Styela clava: one gene and its partner. The protein of the gene in region 1 binds, or shares a complex with, the protein of each later gene. Links are inferred from orthologs where the notes say so. Each region holds a gene or a part of one and is shown in the gene's direction. Other genes may lie near its edges.

Region 1 (9,669 bases):
CTTTTTTTTGGACACGAAATGGTCCTATGAGTCGTTTTCCTAAATTGTTGTTGTTTTTTCTTTCTAGTATTCTCCTTGTTAACCTAAAAAAAGTGCTTAGGACACCAAAGGGGCTTAATCCGCCCCTGGCCTCTCCCTCCATCACTGTAGCCAAACCATTTCGTTCTATCCAAAAGTTGCCGCTTGCATATCAGTGACTACCCATACGGAATAACTGTCACGTGGAATGCCTTAACCCTTTAACAGTCAACGCATTATATATAGCACACGGCATCTATCTAACAATGGAGATTCGCAAGGAACTATTTATTGACATGAATGAATTATACATAAAAAAAAACTTACGTGCCCGATAAAACACCATAAATATAAACAAAACTTGATTCGATAAACTGTGCCAGGCATTGTTCGTTAAGGCTGTAGAGCAGGTGTTTGGATGGACTTTAACATACTTTTCCAGGCTGGAAAGTACTGTACTTCCGTGGGGAAGTACAGAAGTTGCGGTAACCACTAAATAGGCGTCGGAGAATGATATTTCACAGTACGGATATGTTTAAGCTTACCATATTTCCCGCTTTAGGCGAGACAGTCCCGCTTTTTAGCGTTTTGTCCCGCCGTCCCGACAAGTCAGCCAAAAGTCCCGCGCCTAAAGAATGCGTTTGTTTCCCCGCTAACATTGTTAGAAAACGTATCTCACATGTACAACCAATACTAATTAGTCTAAATTCGAATTATTTGTACCGGTATCGTTAACGCCAATTCCTTTCTATTTTTCCAACTGAACCCGATATTTGGCCAGAGAATATGCGCATTAGTTTTCGATGGCAATATGGCCAATGAAGACAGCCTCAAATGTAGGCCCATGTAGTAAAATCGGAAAATGTAAAGTTACAAAATCACAACTAATGGGTCCTTGTCTTTAGAGGCGTCCCACTTTGAAGTCACAAAAATATGGTAACCTTAGATATGTATATATGCTAATTTTAATATACTATCAGGATAGTTACGGAATCAGGAAAGCGGACAAAAACCACTGAGTATAAATACTAGATAATTTGAGTTGAAAGAAATAGCGTAGTATGCGTTTTTTACCTGAAAATATGTTACAACAGTCCGATACAGTGATAGTTCAGCAGAGGAATCAGGTATATTTTAACTCCAGTTGTCTAAGTTTACAGTCATTTTTAACGATTAATTGATAATATTTGAATATATTGGTATATGTTTGAACCTACTGCAGCGTTTGTCAAATGCAACGCCCAATAGAACTAGCAAAACATTTAAAATAGGACCAAGGAGCGCACTGAGCGCCTTCAACCATACGCCAAATTTCGCCGATGTGTTCTCAGTACAACGTCATCGAAGGACCATGCTAATTTGCGTTCACTTTCGGAAAGGTTGAGTTTTAAAAATTGACTCTCCTAAACGAAGTCCATTTTATATGAGCTGTAATGGCTAAAAATATCAAAAAATTACATAGAATAAAATTCATAACAAAGGTTTTTCGGTGATAATTTTTTTTCTTTCTATTGAAAAAATAAAATGAAACAATAAATCAATTTATGAGGTCCAATTCATAACATCATAAAATGGATTCGACATCAATTTGATCTCCAGTATACCATATTCGATTAATAATATAATACCAATTATACAGTCAAAAGAATTCATAGTCCATGATGTATGAAGGTTTAATTCCAATATTTGAATAATTCCATGATCCAATTGATTTGTATTCCACCATACCAATATCGTCAGCATGATATAAAGATCCAATTTGTCCATAGAGGTTATATATAACATAGCACATATTTTGAGAAAATGAAAAAAAGAAAAAAAAATGTTAAAAAAAAATAATACGACCATAATCTTATCTTGTAATTGATATTTGAATATAATACAATAAACATAATCAATTCAAACCATATAATTTCTAAGCCCAAAATAGACAGGTAATAAAAAATACACCAAGTTATTCTATGGGGGTTTCCCCATTCGCCACTTATGTTCACATAACTCTTTTTCTCCTTTAAAAAGTGAAGAAAAAACAGCAATACACTCGATCACAAGAGAGCTATGCTCAAAATATGAACACGTAGCGCCACATAATTTTATTGACGTCATATTAAAAAATAAAAGTAATAGCCTTCTAGAGAAATATTCCATCTTCAACCACTGAAAATTTCAAAGCAATTGGTCTAGTAATCAAAGAGAAAAGCGATTTTTTCAAAACGATACAAAGAACAAGAACAACATAATATTGAAACGATCGTTATGTCACCTACGTGTCCAATAATACAACAACTTCATCTAGTAAATCATAATTTTCATGTTATCACAATTAACATACAATTTTATCATGTAACTATGTAAATATTTTTTAGATGATGAATATAAAAAACAGCATCACAGATTTTTCTAAAAGAATTTCAATCTTTTCATCTCCTAATATTTTCTTTTTCATAAACTCATTCATAACTCTTATAGATCCTATCACCACGCATTTAAACATCGTTCGAAATACAGACTGATAGGTTTCCAAATCTTGAAATACTATGTCATTTCTGAAATTCCAAATCGCTGCTTTACCACAAGAGATAATTAGGTTCACTGATTCAATTTCAACATCTTGGGTGAAAATACTAGGTTCTGTATAATTTGATAAATTTAGCCACTTCCAAAAATGTTTTGTATAATCACAATTAAAAAATAAATGCATACAATCTTCTATCTGTCACAAAATAAGCAATTGCCATTTGCTACATCTGACCAATGTCTAATTCGTTATTCCATTGGAAGCCCATTTTGTAAAATCTTTCAACTTAACACTTGATTTTTTCTGGGAGTATAATTTGCCCACACTTCATTCCCACTAAAATTAGGTCTTGAATTAAATTTAGAAATAGTCCCAAAACGTTTCTGTTTCCATTGGTCAATGTTAAACTTTTTTAATGATCTTCTATCAAACATTTTTGTTGTGGGATTTTCAGGAAAACCGTATTTAAAAGACATCAAGACGGGATTATGATCACCAGTTTTTTTCTCTCAATAAATCTTACCATTCTTGAGGAATTGATCTTAAAATTTTCTGAACACACCAAATCACATTCCTTATTTTATTTTTTTGCTTCATTTTCAGCCAAGTTTCCTATTTTATCTTCTCCATATATTTTTTCAGTAATTAGTTTACATGATAAATTAACAATAGGCTATGCTCTATTTTCGTTATATTTGCCTTAATCCAATTACTTACATCCTCTGTATGATTTCTCAAATTAATCAATAGATTAAACCAAATATACTCTAAAATAAATTTCGGATCTTGGTTTTAAAAGAATTTCTTTGTATATATATTTAAAGCCCTGAAATAGTTGACAATATTTGTGTAAAACTGAGGTAAAGATTTTTTTAAATTATTTCTCAAACTCACATAGATAATTTCAAGATTAGAGGTTTCAAGTTTAGTGTAATAGCTATTAATATATATTTTGGCTCTGCCACTCCGTGGTGCTACCATTGATCAATTTCTACAACCATTTTAGTTGAATACTCCTGATCTGCAATTCGAGATCAATACATCCTAAACCACTCTGCATTTTACTAGCACAGCATACACTCCTGCTTATATATTCTTGTTTCCCCCCAAAATTTCTAAGTTAATTTTTTTAAAGTTGACAAAAAATTATAAGGTACTATTCTAAAAGATGCTAAACACCAAACTTTTGACAGCAGTAATTGTTTAGTGATTATATTCTTTCCAATCATTGTTAGGTTCCTACCACGTCATAAATTTATAACATTTTGAATTCTTCATATAACTGGATTCCAATTTTTATCAAATTTAATTTTATCATTTCCTATCCAGCAACTTAATACTGATATAAGGTCCCTGGAAACGTTAAGTTCACGAACCTAAATAATTGGCAAGTTTACTAAATTGCCACATACTAGTATTTGTGATTTATTTTTATTCATATAGGTCCCTGTTGCTTTTTCAAAATGTTCAATAACATTCATAGATACACATAAAGAATAGTAATCCCTCAAAGTCGACAATGCGTCATCTTATATTTTTGTTCCTCATTCGCTACATTAATAAAACCTCTAATTTGTGGATTATTTCTAATATTACATGCAAATACTTCAGCATATAAAGTATCGGAGACAGTGGACAACCTTGCCTTAAAACTGTTTCAACTATAAATTCCTTGCCAATATAACCATTGGTTATAATTTTCGAATTCATCTTTGTATAAATAAATTTTTGTAAGAGATATCCAAAATGGCCCGAAATTGAATTTTTTTAAAACTTTAAACAAAAATTCCCTATACACACTATCATAGGCCTTCTCCCAGTCTATTGAGAACAATAAGAGATCAGTTTTTGAATAGTTTGCATGGAAAATATCATCTCGAATTGTTATCAAATTTTCATGTATATTTCTGCCATACACAAATCCCGTTTGATCTGGATGAGTCAGTTTAGGAAGTTTATATTTAATTCGATTACACAATATTTTGGTAAAAATTTTATAATATAAATTAAGTAATGAAATAGATCTCCAATTGGTTAATTTGTTCCTTCCAACTTTTTTATACAATAAAGTAATTATTGGCTCTGCCATAGTTTCGGTAAGTTGTCCAGAAGCTATACAACAATTATATACAACGAGTAAAATAGTTTTGACTTTGCCCCGGCATATTGTATAAAATTCCTTCGTAAGACCATCTAGGCCCTTTTTTTTTCAAATAATCTCTGCTCTTCCTGTATATCATTAACATTTGTAAGGATTGTACCATCAACTGTCTCCAATTCTTTAGAAAGTTTAATTTGCCCTCTATGTTTCTCTAAATTGAAATAGTAAGAACTAGATTTTTCGCCTTTTTCATGCCATCTTATTCTACTTCTTATAATATTTCCATGCACTTTTTTTTTCGATAAATTATCCAACTCCTCTTTTTTTAATTCAACCTCGTGTCTTTTTTCTATATCAAACCTATTATTTTCATAATCCATTAGAGCTTTCTGGTATTTATTTATCATCGAATTTTCTTTTGCTTCTCCCCAAGTTTTCAAGCATTTTCCACAGTATATTGCCCAATGTTTAATTTTAGCTGTGATCCCACCTCATCTTTAAACGTGTATACATGTTCAGAATGTCGTTTACACAACAATTCAAAGTAAATTTCTGTTTTTCATAGTACGAATAATTACTCCGGCGAATAATTATCTCGGCGGGTTGCGTTAAACGAATCAGGTGGTTTCAACATATCAAGTATGAATCATACTTGAAACACAGCAGTACGTTTGTAAAATAAGATGTAATTAAAGTAACTGCAAGTTGTGTAGAGATTGATGCTATAGTTGTAACTGAAGATCGTCATTTGCTTTCGGTGCTGACTCTGTCTGGTTTATCTGACTTATACGAGCATCAGTTTTGGCAAGCCGTGGGGGTGTTGCTGTCGTACACCTTGATTTGGAACCTATTTTAAATGAATACTAACAATATGACAGCAACGGCAGGCTATCAAAGCGAAGAGCTTTTTCGTAATATGAATAATCTGCTCGGCAATACGTTAGACCTGCGCGGCATCAATGAAGGAGCCTCCACTTCAGCAGGTTCGTTTTACAGACTGTTGTGATTCTGATTTTTTGATCGATGACTTCATATCTTTATTCATCAAAATTATATAACAGAACCAACCAGAGATAGCTCGTATGCGGCTTGGTCAGCACAGGCTGGTTCACCCAACAAGCAAACGACAGGGTCTGGCAACGCAAACAGTCAAGGTGGTGTTTTTGCTATAAATAACGTTTCATAATCCATTTGATTGTTGTCGCTTTACTCACTAACTTACAATAAAACACTACATGAGCAAAAAAGGCTTTTATTTCACGTTTATTAGTTTTACTAAATTTTATTTTGTATAATTCGAAACCGACGATTGTGTCTAGGAAACAATGGCAGAGAAGTTTCGGATTTCATCAACAAGATCAGTGGAATGAAAAAGGAATTGACCTCTTCAAATAGCAATAATAATAACACCAACAGTAACACAGAAAATTTGGTTAATATTATCAACCATCAGCGAGAAATGGCGGCAAAACAGATGGCAAAAAACACGGACGTACAGCAAAGACTGAAGGAACTGCAGCATCCAGGGATAAGTATGCGTCGCACAGTGCCGGACGTTCATCAAGTCCCTGCCTTTGACTATCCGATTATTCCTGAGGGCTACGCAAACAAGTTGGATATTGACACTAGCATTCGACAAATTATGAATCGTTCTGCTCGCCGAGGTAGAGTATGATACGTGATTGCATTTTGTTTGTCATCCATCTTTGTCTTAAATTTCCAGCGTAGACTAATACTATGTGTAATGTACATCTGTGTTTTGCTTTTTATAAGGCGTTCAACTTGCACTTCTCATCGGCTGCGTGATTTCAAAATGTGACACGCTCAGTAATGACCCTGTGTTAGGTTGTTTGTTACCTTTTTCAGATATTAGTGTATTTTCTGGCGTACGGAGATCCTTTTTTTTAAAGAATCTTCCTGCAAGTACACAGAATCGTTTTTGTACATTAAGTAAAATTTTTGTAGTAAATAAATATAGTTTCAGGTAAGATTATATTAATTTTAAGCTGACGGACTCCGCGCAAGAACACCAGATCCTGGCGATTTCGCTTCGCTCATTGGACCGCCTCTTCTGTGTAAGTTTATGAATTTTTATTAACTGGTACTAAAAGTGTAGATATTGGAATCAATTACTAACTTTGTTCAAAAAGATGAATTCATTTCTGAAATAAAGTAGATCATGTTCAATTTAATAGATTAATGTTAGAAAACGACTAAAACGAGGTATACCGGGTCGCCTTTACATACCTACTCCCCAGCGTTTTTCTAATATATATATACATATATTCATTGTTTCAGTTAAACATTTTCCTTTAAAATTCAAAATGGTCTCTGCTCCATTATTTTTTTTTGACATGCGATTTGGATTTCTCAGGTCATTTTTACATTATATAAGCTCCATAACATACTGACTAATGGTATCTTAATGATTAATTTAAATATGATAAATCATGACTCTCCCAGCTCCACAGGAACTCCAACAAACCCTGTCATTGAGCATGGAAGGTGCACCGCTCCATCTTAGTACATTGAACAGCGATGGGCTAAGCACACATTCATCTCATGACGCAAGTGGCTCCAGTATGAATTCCAGCATTTTGAGTTCTGGATCTGATCCGATGTCCATATCAGAATTAGTGGTAACTGTTTTTATTGTGCTTTATTAGGCATGTACGTGTACAATATAGAATAAAACTAAGACTATAACTTTCTCATAGTTGAAATAAATACAACGAAATGATTACATTTTTAGAGTGGAATTCAAGGTCTCCATATGGGACCAAGTCGCAATTCAATATCTGGTCGATCCACTCCAATTGTGCCCAGTCCTACAGACTGGTGCGATGCGTCCACCCCGCGACAATATTACAACCCCGATGGCGACATTGGCATGATTAACCCGTTCTCCTCAGAGCAACTGTTGGATGTTGCTTCATTATATGGAGTCTCTGACAAAATGGAATATGACGCAAGACTTCATCGTTCCGCTGCTGGTAAAGTTTATTTTATCGATTTTCAAATCAGAAATATGAATGTTAATTTTATTGCCAGAGCAATCAAAAAGCCCAAGTCTTTTAAATTAGGTCAACAAAATTTTTCTGTAGTTTGGTATATGATGTATGTCCATCATGATATAATATTTCAAATAAATATTATATTACATAATTATATAATTGGGAGTTTTCTTAAAGTTTGATGAGTAAAAATTGTGTGATATTTTAAATTTCATGCCACTCGCATTACAGCGTCGTGTGAGGCGACCTTTACTTGGAGCGGGCATCTTCCTATTCGCCATTACGTTGCGCCCACTTATTCACCAAAGGTGTTTCTTGGTGGAGTACCGTGGGACATCACCGAAGGTATGGAGAATATAATATTTTTGTACAAAATGCTTCCAAATCACACAATATAAAAATGGATTGCTATAAGTGTATTATAAAATCTGCTTTTATCATCTTGCAGCGTCATTCCATCTGACTTTCAAACCATACGGACTAGTTCGGGTTGAATGGCCAGGAAAAGACACCAAAGGACCTCGCTATCCTCTACGAGGTTGGTTGGCTGAAAATTACTGAATGTATATCATTTCATATGAAAAGTATCTCCTTATTATTTATATCAGTGGTTTTCAAAGCCTTTTTTTCTAGAAACATCCCAAGAAACCCCTGTGCAGTAGTCCAACTGTCCTTTAATGTCTGAATTGTATGAACAGTAAATATGAGGCCCAATAGGTGTTTGATTATATTCAAACAATATGATTTGAATGGAAAGGCGGGAACCCCTGGACTGTATTGGCGGAAACCTAGGGTGCAGCGGCGCCACGGTTGAAAACCAACGCTCTGTATACACCATATGTCCATTAATATTGCAGGCGCTAATTAAAAAGAGTGGCAACAAACATCCATGGCTATGACAGTATTTTTCATTTTTTAAATTTACTCATTGATTGAATGAAAAATTGTGTGCAGCTGGATACGTTTATCTGCTATTTGAAAGTGACAAGTCCATAAAAAGTCTCCTGCATAACTGTACTCGAGATGTCACAACCAACGAATGGTTCTTTAGGCTGTCGAGTAGACGCATGCGCAGCAAAGAAGTGCAGGTATATTTTCTTGTCTCATTGTTGTTCAACATTCTAATTAAACTGCACTTACTGTTATTGCGAGTTTCGGGGTTTTTGGACCCCATATTTTTGAAAGAACTTTTGTTCGCGCCTTTCTCTTTGCACAAGGCAATGTATAGGTAGCCATTGATATCGAACGATATATTGAAGGAGCTCTCCACAGACTCTGCAGTCGAAGTAGTCTAGCGCACAATTTCATCCATCTCGGTTGTGGTTCGTATGGAGGATTTGTTCTTAGTGAGCCCAAAGACGTCGGGTTGTCAGTGAATCGCTGACGCATAGAGCGAAGTAGTGTTAAAATATACGAGTTTGTGTCTCATTGCTAATGCCGCAAATTCTCCTTTCAAAAAGTATACTGTTAAAATTTTGGGAACCATGGCCCCCACCTGGGTACGCCTATCATTGTTCCATACGTTAATGATGTTTTCAGATAATACCATGGGTGATCACGGATAGCAATTATATGCGGGTTTCATCTGCTCGGTTGGATGCCAACAAGACCATCTTCGTTGGAGCTCTTCATGGAATGCTGACGTCAGAAGGTCTTGCACACGTAATGAACGATCTGTTTGGTAATGTTGTGTATGCTGGAATAGACACTGACAAATACAAGTACCCAATAGGTGAGTCACGGTTTCACCCTTAAAAGTGACTTTATTAGGTTTACATGCGCTTGGTAAAATACAGAAATTTGGTTTCGGTAATGACAACTAGCTTTATACAATAGAATGTTCGTTGATAAACATTCTCCAAACACTACATCGATCAATACCTACAATGCCTAAAGATAGTAATATTGAATTCTATAGTTTTTTTGATGATTGGGTATCAAATAATTCATTTACGTAACGACTGAACTTTTTTATTAACCCACAAGTATCGAGTGAGCACTTCCACGGCGTTCAACCA
Region 2 (9,372 bases), on another chromosome or scaffold:
GATTTTAATAGCTCTTGCCAGATTGGTCTATTTTAAAGTCCATGCAGCATTTAAAACGAATAATTGATTATATTTCCAAATTCCGGACCTGTACTTGAAAGTGTCATCAACTTCTTCTTGAACGTTCTTCTCGATGAGTGAAAACCTAAAAATCTTGGAAAAAATATAAACACACTATGATTGCAGAACAGCTTAGGGAATAAATCTATTGTTGATGGGCCACCCACCCATTTACCTTTTATTTAATCCTAATCTAAAAAAAATTCAATTTAATGTCTGATGATTTAATATTATATTGTATGAATCTTGACATACCAATAATCTAGAAAGATATTTTAATTCTATTTGTGCGTTGTGGCCTTTTTCCTCTACGCTCCTGAAATCATTCATCGAAACTTGCTTTGACATAATACTGTTAATCAGAGTATTTTTATGTTCTGTGTCCATTTGGTATCAAATGGTACCAGTTGGTTGTGTTTTTCTCAAAACAATTTTAGTGTAAATTATTTCATTCAAATAGGCTACAAATCTGACCTGGTTTAGCATTTGCAAACTTGTCGCCAAAATTTGACAATATTTTCGAAATTAGTATCTGAAAATATAACAATGTGCATGGAAAAAAATTGAGAAATTTAAACAGTTTCTTTTGCACAGCTGGACTTTCTGAAAAACATTTTACTGAACATTTCATCGTGATATTGAATTGCTTGCATGGCAACCAATATTTTTTTCATCCAAATGTGAAAAATTAAGTTTTAATCGACTGACCGAATTCACTATTCGAATACATTTAAAAAAACTTATATTTCAAAGTATAGAATTCACTTTACATTGGAATTTTTGGAATCAATTCGTCTCCATGAAAACTTGAAAAAGCTATATTTATCGCTGGCTTTTACAACATTGTTAACCAGAGAGTTTTCACATAAAAATATCTCAATTCTCTTATTGGAATAATTTTTAAAATGTTATCGAATGTTGGCTTCGGTCATCCATTTTGTAATGCTATAACTTCTCGATTTATTTCGTGGGTTGGGGTGTTAGAGATTATTCAGTGCACAGTTAATTTTCATACTCAAGACGGAATTCTGTTGAATTGTTCAACTATTTTCAGTTTAAATATAATTTTCGGGATTTACTGCAATGTAGAACCGTAATATCTGTTCTTAGATCTATTGCGAAATAAAACTGCTCAATTGATAGGGTCTCACAAACAACGCATTTCCCATATTAAGTTACTACAAATAAATTTGTATAAATTGTGATTATTTTCCAGTTGTAATTTCAATTGAAAGTGTTTTAATTCTGGCTGCTAGTGTCTTTCATCACCCCTTTTGGTCTCCCCGTCCCCACTGTAACTACTGTATTATATATTGCATTTACTGCATATTCAGAAAAGATCTCCGATTGAAGACATGTTAATTATGAAAATTGAGTCTGTGTTTTTTCGATTGAGTCGTTGGGTAGGTATTAGGAAGCAGGCTGGGATTAAGTCAGTTGGGTGCGATGACGTAACGGTTCGCGATTCGACTGAGTTTCGTTGGCATTGCAGTTTTCGTGGTGACTGTACATTTAAACCCATGTGTATATCCGCGGGTTCAAACTATGTGCAGGTGCTGAAACCCGTAGGTTAGGGTTAGTATTCCATAGGTGCAGTAGTATGCGGGTGCAATTGTCGTGGGTTCAAATGTCCATGTTTGGAGCGATAAGGGCCGAAGAAAAAATTAACATAAAGGTGGGACGGTCGATAGTTTGATTTGAATTTCGAACAGAAGGTTACTATATGCCTTGGCCTGTCTGTTTGTCGTATTTCCATGTGATGCCTGTAGGGTCCTCTTATTTTCATAGGCAGCGCTCTCGAGGTGTATATCTATTCAATTGCGGACATGATTCTCCCTGGCACCTTAGCTCGGTTCCAAATACTTCTGGCTTCCTGCTATCTGTATATGCTCGTTTTACCGTCCGATCCTGATTAAGGGCTCGTTTGAATAGCCGCCCGTGTGAACAGAACATGAAAATAAGTAAGGGCCGGTGCTTGAATACTCGCCTGATGTAAAAGCTGATTTTTCAGTGGTAGAGAACAATGGGAAATAAAAAGCGCTTTTGTCACAACGCTGTTGAATTTTAAGCGCTGGTAGATAACACTCACGCCTTATGCGTCCAATTACATAACAGATAGCCTTGATTACTCAAACTGGGCGTCTGCGACTACCAAGTGCGTCGTTTCAATATTGATAGGGCGTCGCAATTTTTACTTTAAAAATAACAAGCGCCTGTGCTTGAATAAGGGCCCGGTTAGTGAGTTTGGTTAAAAAAATATGGGCCCGGGCTACAAAACGAGCAAATACGGTATATAAGAATACCCAGTCATGTTTTGAAGCGTTTTTACCAGTTATTTTATGACCCATTTCAATTGTAGAAAAGCCAACAAACGTAACAAAAAATAAATGCATTACATTCCAAGAAATCGACTTTCTTTTCCATGAAGATGAGTGTGTGAACTCAATCCTACTCAATGTTGGTTATGGATAAGTCGGGTTATGCCCCACCATTCTCTGTTAATCTTGGTAGGAAATTTGTAAGATAAGCAGATGGAGGTCGGTGAATAACCTAACATATAAGATAAACAACACAGAAAATTTAGCGTTGGGCAATGACAGTATAGTGCCCGATAAAATATTCCAATATTACAGAATATTAGCAAGCATATCGCACCGCTGACAGTGCGTTTTTTGAGTTATTATTCTGGCAGGAAATCCTGTCGACAGAATTGGAGAAATGTTTGTTTGTATTCTATCAAGTGCTCAACATAGAAAAATATCACAAGTTGAGCATCGTTTATCTATTATTCAAGCTTGGGAAATATATCCAATTGACAGACTGCGAAACGGTGAATGCACGTTCCGGCAAAGTAGGAATTTTTGGTAGTAATTACAACGTTTTTGATAGTATTTGCAACGTTTTTTGGTGGAAAAAGTGGGTTTGTTGGGAAGATATTGTTCCATGCACGATTGATGGTCGAAACCCATGTATTCAGAGGTAATTTGAATTTAATATATTAATAGACATGATATGTTCTGGGTTAGGATAGGAATTTAAATTGAGAAATGGGGAGAGTATTTAAAATAAGATTCTTGATATGTTTTGGGTCAGGATAGATGTATTACTTTGGCAAATGGTTAGAGTAAACATGTGTCAGTGTGTAATTATGGAGTCGAAATAAACTTATACAAGTGTGATTCATGGTAAGCTATGGGTTGGGGCTGTAGGGTGGAATAGAATAGCTACAGGAGTGGTGACTCAGGCAGGGGCCACGGCCCATCTAATTTGGCCACATGGGCCGTGGCCCATCAAGCTATGGGCCGCGGCCCCATCGGGAAAAATTCAATTATCTTACTAAAATTTTCAATTTTTACAATATTGTCAATATTCGAACCGAAAAAAAATCGCGAGATGCCAGCAAATTTTTTTCTTACGGTAAGCCTCTATATTTAAATTAAGCAAAATACCAAACAACAGAAAAGAATAGCCTACTCCTGTAGTATGTGTACCAGGTTAGGGTTAGGACAAAATCTTGTTCAAAATTTTTCACATTATAGTTCTATTATGAGTGTGGTGACTGACTGTGTTAGCCAAGTAAATAGTCCATTTACACAACTTGATGGGCCGTAGACTGGTAGAGGAATCACCACTTCCACTCTAGAATAGGTAGGAATAGCTATAAAGCTCCCATCCAGTGGCTAGGTATGACATGGTATTTTTTGGGTTAGGCAAAACTAGGGGTTCAGGTGTAGTTTAGTACGGTACCACATACAGACATATACTTCTAATTTGAAAAGCTATATGACGTGATTGTGACGTCGTAGTTATGTAAATTTTGGATGACATAGTCAAGTGGGGTTAATAATACTGTAATAACATATGCAAAAATAATTTTGTCCAGCCCACTAGGCTTGTTGTACTATACTACGTTAAACCCAAGTTAGGATAGATATGAAAATTTAGTCACGTTTTGATTGAGTAATCATATGTTTGCTCGGTATCAGATGCTAGAAATACGCTCTGTCATTGCACCTCTGACTACCCTGCATGGGTTCGCAGGTCGAATGCTGTGGGGGAAAAAATGTCCTGAGAGGATTGCTGGCCTTCCCGCCGCCGTAGGCCATATCACGTAACCGCTGAATGATTTAAACAGCACAAGGCTCAACTAAATATGGAAAGAGTACTGACAAATTGCAAGTGCCATTCATTTGCTAAATTCAGTTTGCCCGATAGAGATATCAGTGGTTGACACAAGTAGACAGTGGTCTACATCTGGGTTTCTTGAACTGGGGTTCGTGATGGCTCCACGAGGGTCCGCAACGAAATGAAAAGATTACGAAATATACATTTAATGGTGCTCCCGAAGTATGCGAACCAAGATGGCGGACATCGGAACGTAACATGGGTAACAGGTTAGGGTTAGGCGATAATTTCTTTCCAATTTTCCTTATTTTAGTCCTATTATCAGTTCGAAGACTAGCCAAGAGCCTCCCGTAGTATTTATACCTAAAATTATGGCCTAACCCTAACCTAGTACACATATTACATTCCGATGTTCGTCATCTTGGTTCGCATACTTTGGGAGCCCCCATTTAATATCATGTAGGCTATATATCCATTGTCACGTAGCGATTCGTAAACAAGATAATGTCGTAAGTTCAGGCGATCGCAAATCGTAATTGTTACGAAACCAATGGAAGTGAAAAAATTATAGTAAAACGATCCTTGCTTCCAGTGTCTGTGAGGTGGACCTTCATCGGGGAGCAACGAATATAAAAGTATTTATTGCACTATAGCATTGGTTTCCAGCTTTTTATATCCTGTGGCCCCCATTCGGAGACTTTTAGCACTCATGGCCCTCCTGTTTATCACTTCAGTGGTATTTATGATGTTATTTTGATTTGGAACAATATTTCCCTGCCTCATCTGATATTCAAATTTTCTGTATTCCAGCGACCACCTTGTATATGAGCATGTCTTGAATCTTTTCTTGGATTTTTATTTTCTGTATATTTTATTGTTTATATTGCCTTGTATAAATCAGAATAATTAATATTTTATCTTAATAATGTTGTTGAACTTTCTTATCAGGATTTGAAATAATATTGTTGTAAAAAAATTTATTTGTTTCTTGCTTTGTTTTAAGGAATATTGTAGATAAAACTAGTTTATACTGGTTTGAACCAGTTAAAACCGAGATAATCCAGCTGTGAATTGTCTGATTATATCTCAAGCTATCTGACAACAGTTTGTCTTGTTTATCATCCCGTGCAAATTGGAGCAGACGAAACCAGTCTAATCCAGTATGAGCGAGTCAGAACCGGTTAGTCCACTTCCAGATGGTTGGATAAAGAAGGAAAGCAGATCATCAGGTAGTTATGACTCACAATTGAAGGATTTTAACCAAGCATTATTTTAGTCCAGTGGTTCTCAAACGGTGGCGCCCCCCCCGAATGGGGGTATGGGCAATTTTTCGAGGGGGCTCGAAGCTAATTGAAAATGGTAAAAAAATGTTAGATTTGATCTTGCCTGCCTTATTTTGGATATTTTACATTTCGAAACTTTTTATTCGTATCAATATGTACGTTCCATCCACATATTTTCAACGTGCTTTTCAAATAAATCATACTTTTGCCTTACTATCTGTTATTTGTAGCTTATTGTTAGCTAGTTATTTTAGAGGTGGGACATGAAATTTGACAAATTCTAAAAAGGGGGCGTGGCTCAAAAAGTTTGAGAACCACCGTCCTAGTACATTTTATTTATTTATTCAAGACATTTGAAACGTCCATATAAAATGACAAACAAAAAACAATAATTAATAATAAATAAGGGGAAGTAAATAGTACAGAAAATGCATTATATAGGATTTACATATTCATCCCGGGAGGAGAGGAAAGCCTATAAAGTGGCTTGATTACATGGCGAACCACGGCCTCTTGTCTGTTTCCATACTATGTCGGGTATAGAATTAGTTATCCAGTATGCGAATCCTATACCTAACGTTTACCACGCTGCGCCACACTGCTGTGTGTGCAACGTGCAGACATGCAACATATATATATATATATATACAGAGAATCTGTGATTGTGCAAGTATCTTGAATTCCAATTTTTTGTCATTTTTGTCAACTTTCTTTTTGTGCTTCTCAGGGAGACATTACTATGTGAACAAATACACGAATGCGAGTCAATGGGACAGACCAACCTCAGAAGCAGTGAAACCAGCAAGACCAGAGGTAGGAGATGATTTTTTTTTTTTTCTTGAGTGAAAGGAAAGCTGATGAACCGTGTTTGGAAGCTCGAGCGATCACAAGTCAACAGTTATCTAAGATGAATATAATAAAATATAATCATAAGTTGCAAGAGTTTCCAACAAAGGAATTGAAATTTGCTGTTGTAAATATAGCTATCAATCGGAGTTATGTAAGACTATGGAATCGCTTTTCTTGTCTTTGTTGACATGCTTGTCTAGCGAGGACAAATTATTAATCAATTGTGTCAGTGGACCAGGTGAATAGCCAGGAATAATTGAAGGAGGGAGATCTGGAATTTTTATTAATTGTCGAGTTGGACCATAGCAGCCAGCGAGTCCGACTGGACGACCCTGACTTTGTCCCAGTGTGAGAATAGCTGGGCGGATGCATGAACTAGACTAGTGAAGGGAGTCTTTCTATTAACAGTGTGATTGCTGTTTAATGAGATTGAGACCAAATTGGGAAAAATGGGTAAAGTGAGAGAAATATTAGTCCTAGTAAATCGAACGTCTCACCTAAGTAATCTGGAGAAATATTCCCCAAACTCTGTAAAGTCTGCATATGTTTAGGTGGATGCTTGCCCAGAGCCATCTTCACAAAATTGCTATGTATGATACATAATGGGGTGTACTAGGGCAGGGGTGTGCAAACTGTGGCCCGCGGGCCAAATGCGGCCCCCAAGGAAATATTGTGCGGCCCGCTGAGAAGTGCCAATTTTGAATAGTGTGCCCGCAAAAAGAATTTTTAGTTTAGTTATTGTGACACGTGCGAGAAATTTTAATCACTTTACGTCGCAAAGCCAGTACCCGAGTGCCACTGTCATATTAGCAAAACTAGCTAGCAAAAACAGTTTTTGTGTGTGAAACTACTATAAACTATATCTTAAATAAAAGTACAGCCTGTGACTTCACTCAATCACTTGAATCTGGCCTTCCTGTAATAAAGGTTGCACACCCCTGTACTAGGGTATTGTGTATTGAACTGCAGGTCCTTTCTCCTTGTTTACTTTATATTCCGGATCCGTATGTGGCTGTTGCCACAAGGATGTGTGACTGAGATAGTATTATGAAGATAAATAAAAATAACATAATCTCTTTCCACGAAATATTAAGTATATTATATAGTATATAGCTATTTGATTAGGCCATATCTTGTTTTATCTGGAGAAGTTGGACTATGATCTAACGCAGTGGTCGGCAACCTTTTTCCAGTAACAGACCGGTAAAGCCTGACCAAAATTTTGTAATAAATAATATGCGTTAGAAAATGTATGTTGACAATACATTCAAAAACAAAGGTGATACTATTCATGTAACGTATTTCTCACTCACGTTAAACCCACTTCGATCTTTCGTTTTTGTAATTGCCATTTTAAAAACCCAACCTCACATGAAGATAACAATGGCATTGTACGTTTTCATGTCACCATTCTGCGGACCGGTAGTGACCTTTCCACGGATCAGCCGCGGCCCGGTGGTTGCCGACCACTGATCTAACGACAAATATAAAATATACTTGATATCACAAATATACTTGATATTTCATGGAAAGAGATTATGTTATTTTTATGATACATAAAATTGCTTTTTTATATTTCATTTGGGGGTCAGACCCTCAAAAACCCCTGTAGTGGCAGCAAGCCCCCTTAATCACAAAGAATAGTCCTCTGTTTATGACATGAAACTCAGAAGGAATATTTTATTCCTTTTGATATATATAAGTTAGTATATTTTTGTTTTGTAATTTGTAACATCAGGCAGTGAAATTTGAAATGACCTAATTTGACTAATTTCAGATACTGTGGAAAATAATATGCAATTTGATGTAAATTTAATTCAAAAAACCATTTCCCTTTTAGTTTGAACATTCTGAATTTTCTGTTGTGATTTGAATATGTTGTTCATTGAGCAAGTTGACTGCTACAAATGTACAAATCTTTGTGCACAGTGAAAGTGAATGTACAGTGCCGTATTTCTCAACCTTTGGTTCATCACCCAAAACTGTCCTGAGTTATTTCATTTAGATGGGGGCTTGCCAAGTTGGGTGTAGTGACCCCATAGAGGGTGCGCAAGGAATATTAGGGTACGCAAAGCCCCAAGGGTTGAATGGTATGTTTTATCTTCAGGAAGTAATTAAAAAAAATAGAAATTTGTTATGCAAATTCAACGTTACTCAAATTTCATGAGACCATATGGTTAAAAAGCTTTCTTCTTATTAGGCTCTGTCAAGTATGAAATATAAATAGACTATAGTACAATAGCTTGCCAAGTTTGGGAGAGATCATAGACCAGATTTTACTCACTGGTGCAGCCAGGGATGGTGAAAACCAAATAAATGCTTTTTCTAGACACTTATCGTATTTATTCGAGTATAACTCGAAAAATTGCTGGACGTGTTGCTGGACGAATTTTTTTTCTACAAAAAACTACTCTTGATATTTGCCTCGATTAATGCAAAGCCATCTTGCTTTTGAAACATAATTGCTGAACAGCTGGCTTTTGATTTTCAAATTTCAATTTTATTTTTGTGCGGTCAGGAACGGTCCATTGATAAAAAGATATAAAAGTCATAGCACAGTCAAATTGCTGACTCGTGTGGCCTATTCACTCCAAAGACAGGAAGTGTTCGCTTCCTGCTTTCGCTCTCTTTAATCCAATTATATGAAACCATGTGTTCAGCCATATGATTGTGTGTGTGTAATGTCTGTATTACAATGCAATATACCTCATATCAGTGATTTCAAACGGGGGGGGGGGGGGCTTGTAGCCCACCATGTGGGCCACTGGGAGGGAGTACACCATGCCAGGCGCGAAACTGATTTTACTTTTCCCGTTACTAGAAAACGTCCTGTTAAAAGTGTTTTCACTTTTAATCGTAGGCACTTGCTTTAAGCAGAATTGTGCATATTTATAATATATTCTACATTCAGTTTTGCCATTTCTTTAAGCATTTAATGTTTAAAACACAAAACAGAAAGATGTTGCTCATCTCTCTCCTTTTAAGCCTCCTACTTACTTATATAAAGTAGAATCTATATATCGACACCCACGTAAATAAAAACAGAGTGGCATCC

The links.
Region 2: the proteins of uncharacterized protein LOC120336202 (region 1) and peptidyl-prolyl cis-trans isomerase NIMA-interacting 1-like are in contact, whole or in part, in an NMR structure (PDB 2N1O), measured with the Homo sapiens proteins. The link is inferred for Styela clava from reciprocal best matches to the Homo sapiens genes CPEB1 and PIN1. Residues at the interface, in NP_001352172.1 of Homo sapiens: Arg206, Ile207, Ser208, Pro209, Pro210, Leu211, Pro212, Phe213; in NP_006212.1 of Homo sapiens: Arg17, Tyr23, Ser32, Gln33, Trp34, Glu35.

Annotation. Positions count from the first base shown.
Region 1 is NC_135251.1:14,364,528-14,374,196, forward strand, and holds the start of uncharacterized protein LOC120336202, read left to right. Parts: upstream 1-5,358; 5' UTR 5,359-5,493; coding exon 5,494-5,620; intron 5,621-5,698; coding exon 5,699-5,791; intron 5,792-5,956; coding exon 5,957-6,301; intron 6,302-6,643; coding exon 6,644-6,712; intron 6,713-7,100; coding exon 7,101-7,276; intron 7,277-7,389; coding exon 7,390-7,630; intron 7,631-7,882; coding exon 7,883-7,996; intron 7,997-8,099; coding exon 8,100-8,189; intron 8,190-8,605; coding exon 8,606-8,739; intron 8,740-9,190; coding exon 9,191-9,383; intron 9,384-9,669.
Region 2 is NC_135254.1:5,014,505-5,023,876, forward strand, and holds the start of peptidyl-prolyl cis-trans isomerase NIMA-interacting 1-like, read left to right. Parts: upstream 1-5,163; 5' UTR 5,164-5,347; coding exon 5,348-5,414; intron 5,415-6,195; coding exon 6,196-6,281; intron 6,282-9,372. UniProt on the Homo sapiens protein: Peptidyl-prolyl cis/trans isomerase (PPIase) that binds to and isomerizes specific phosphorylated Ser/Thr-Pro (pSer/Thr-Pro) motifs.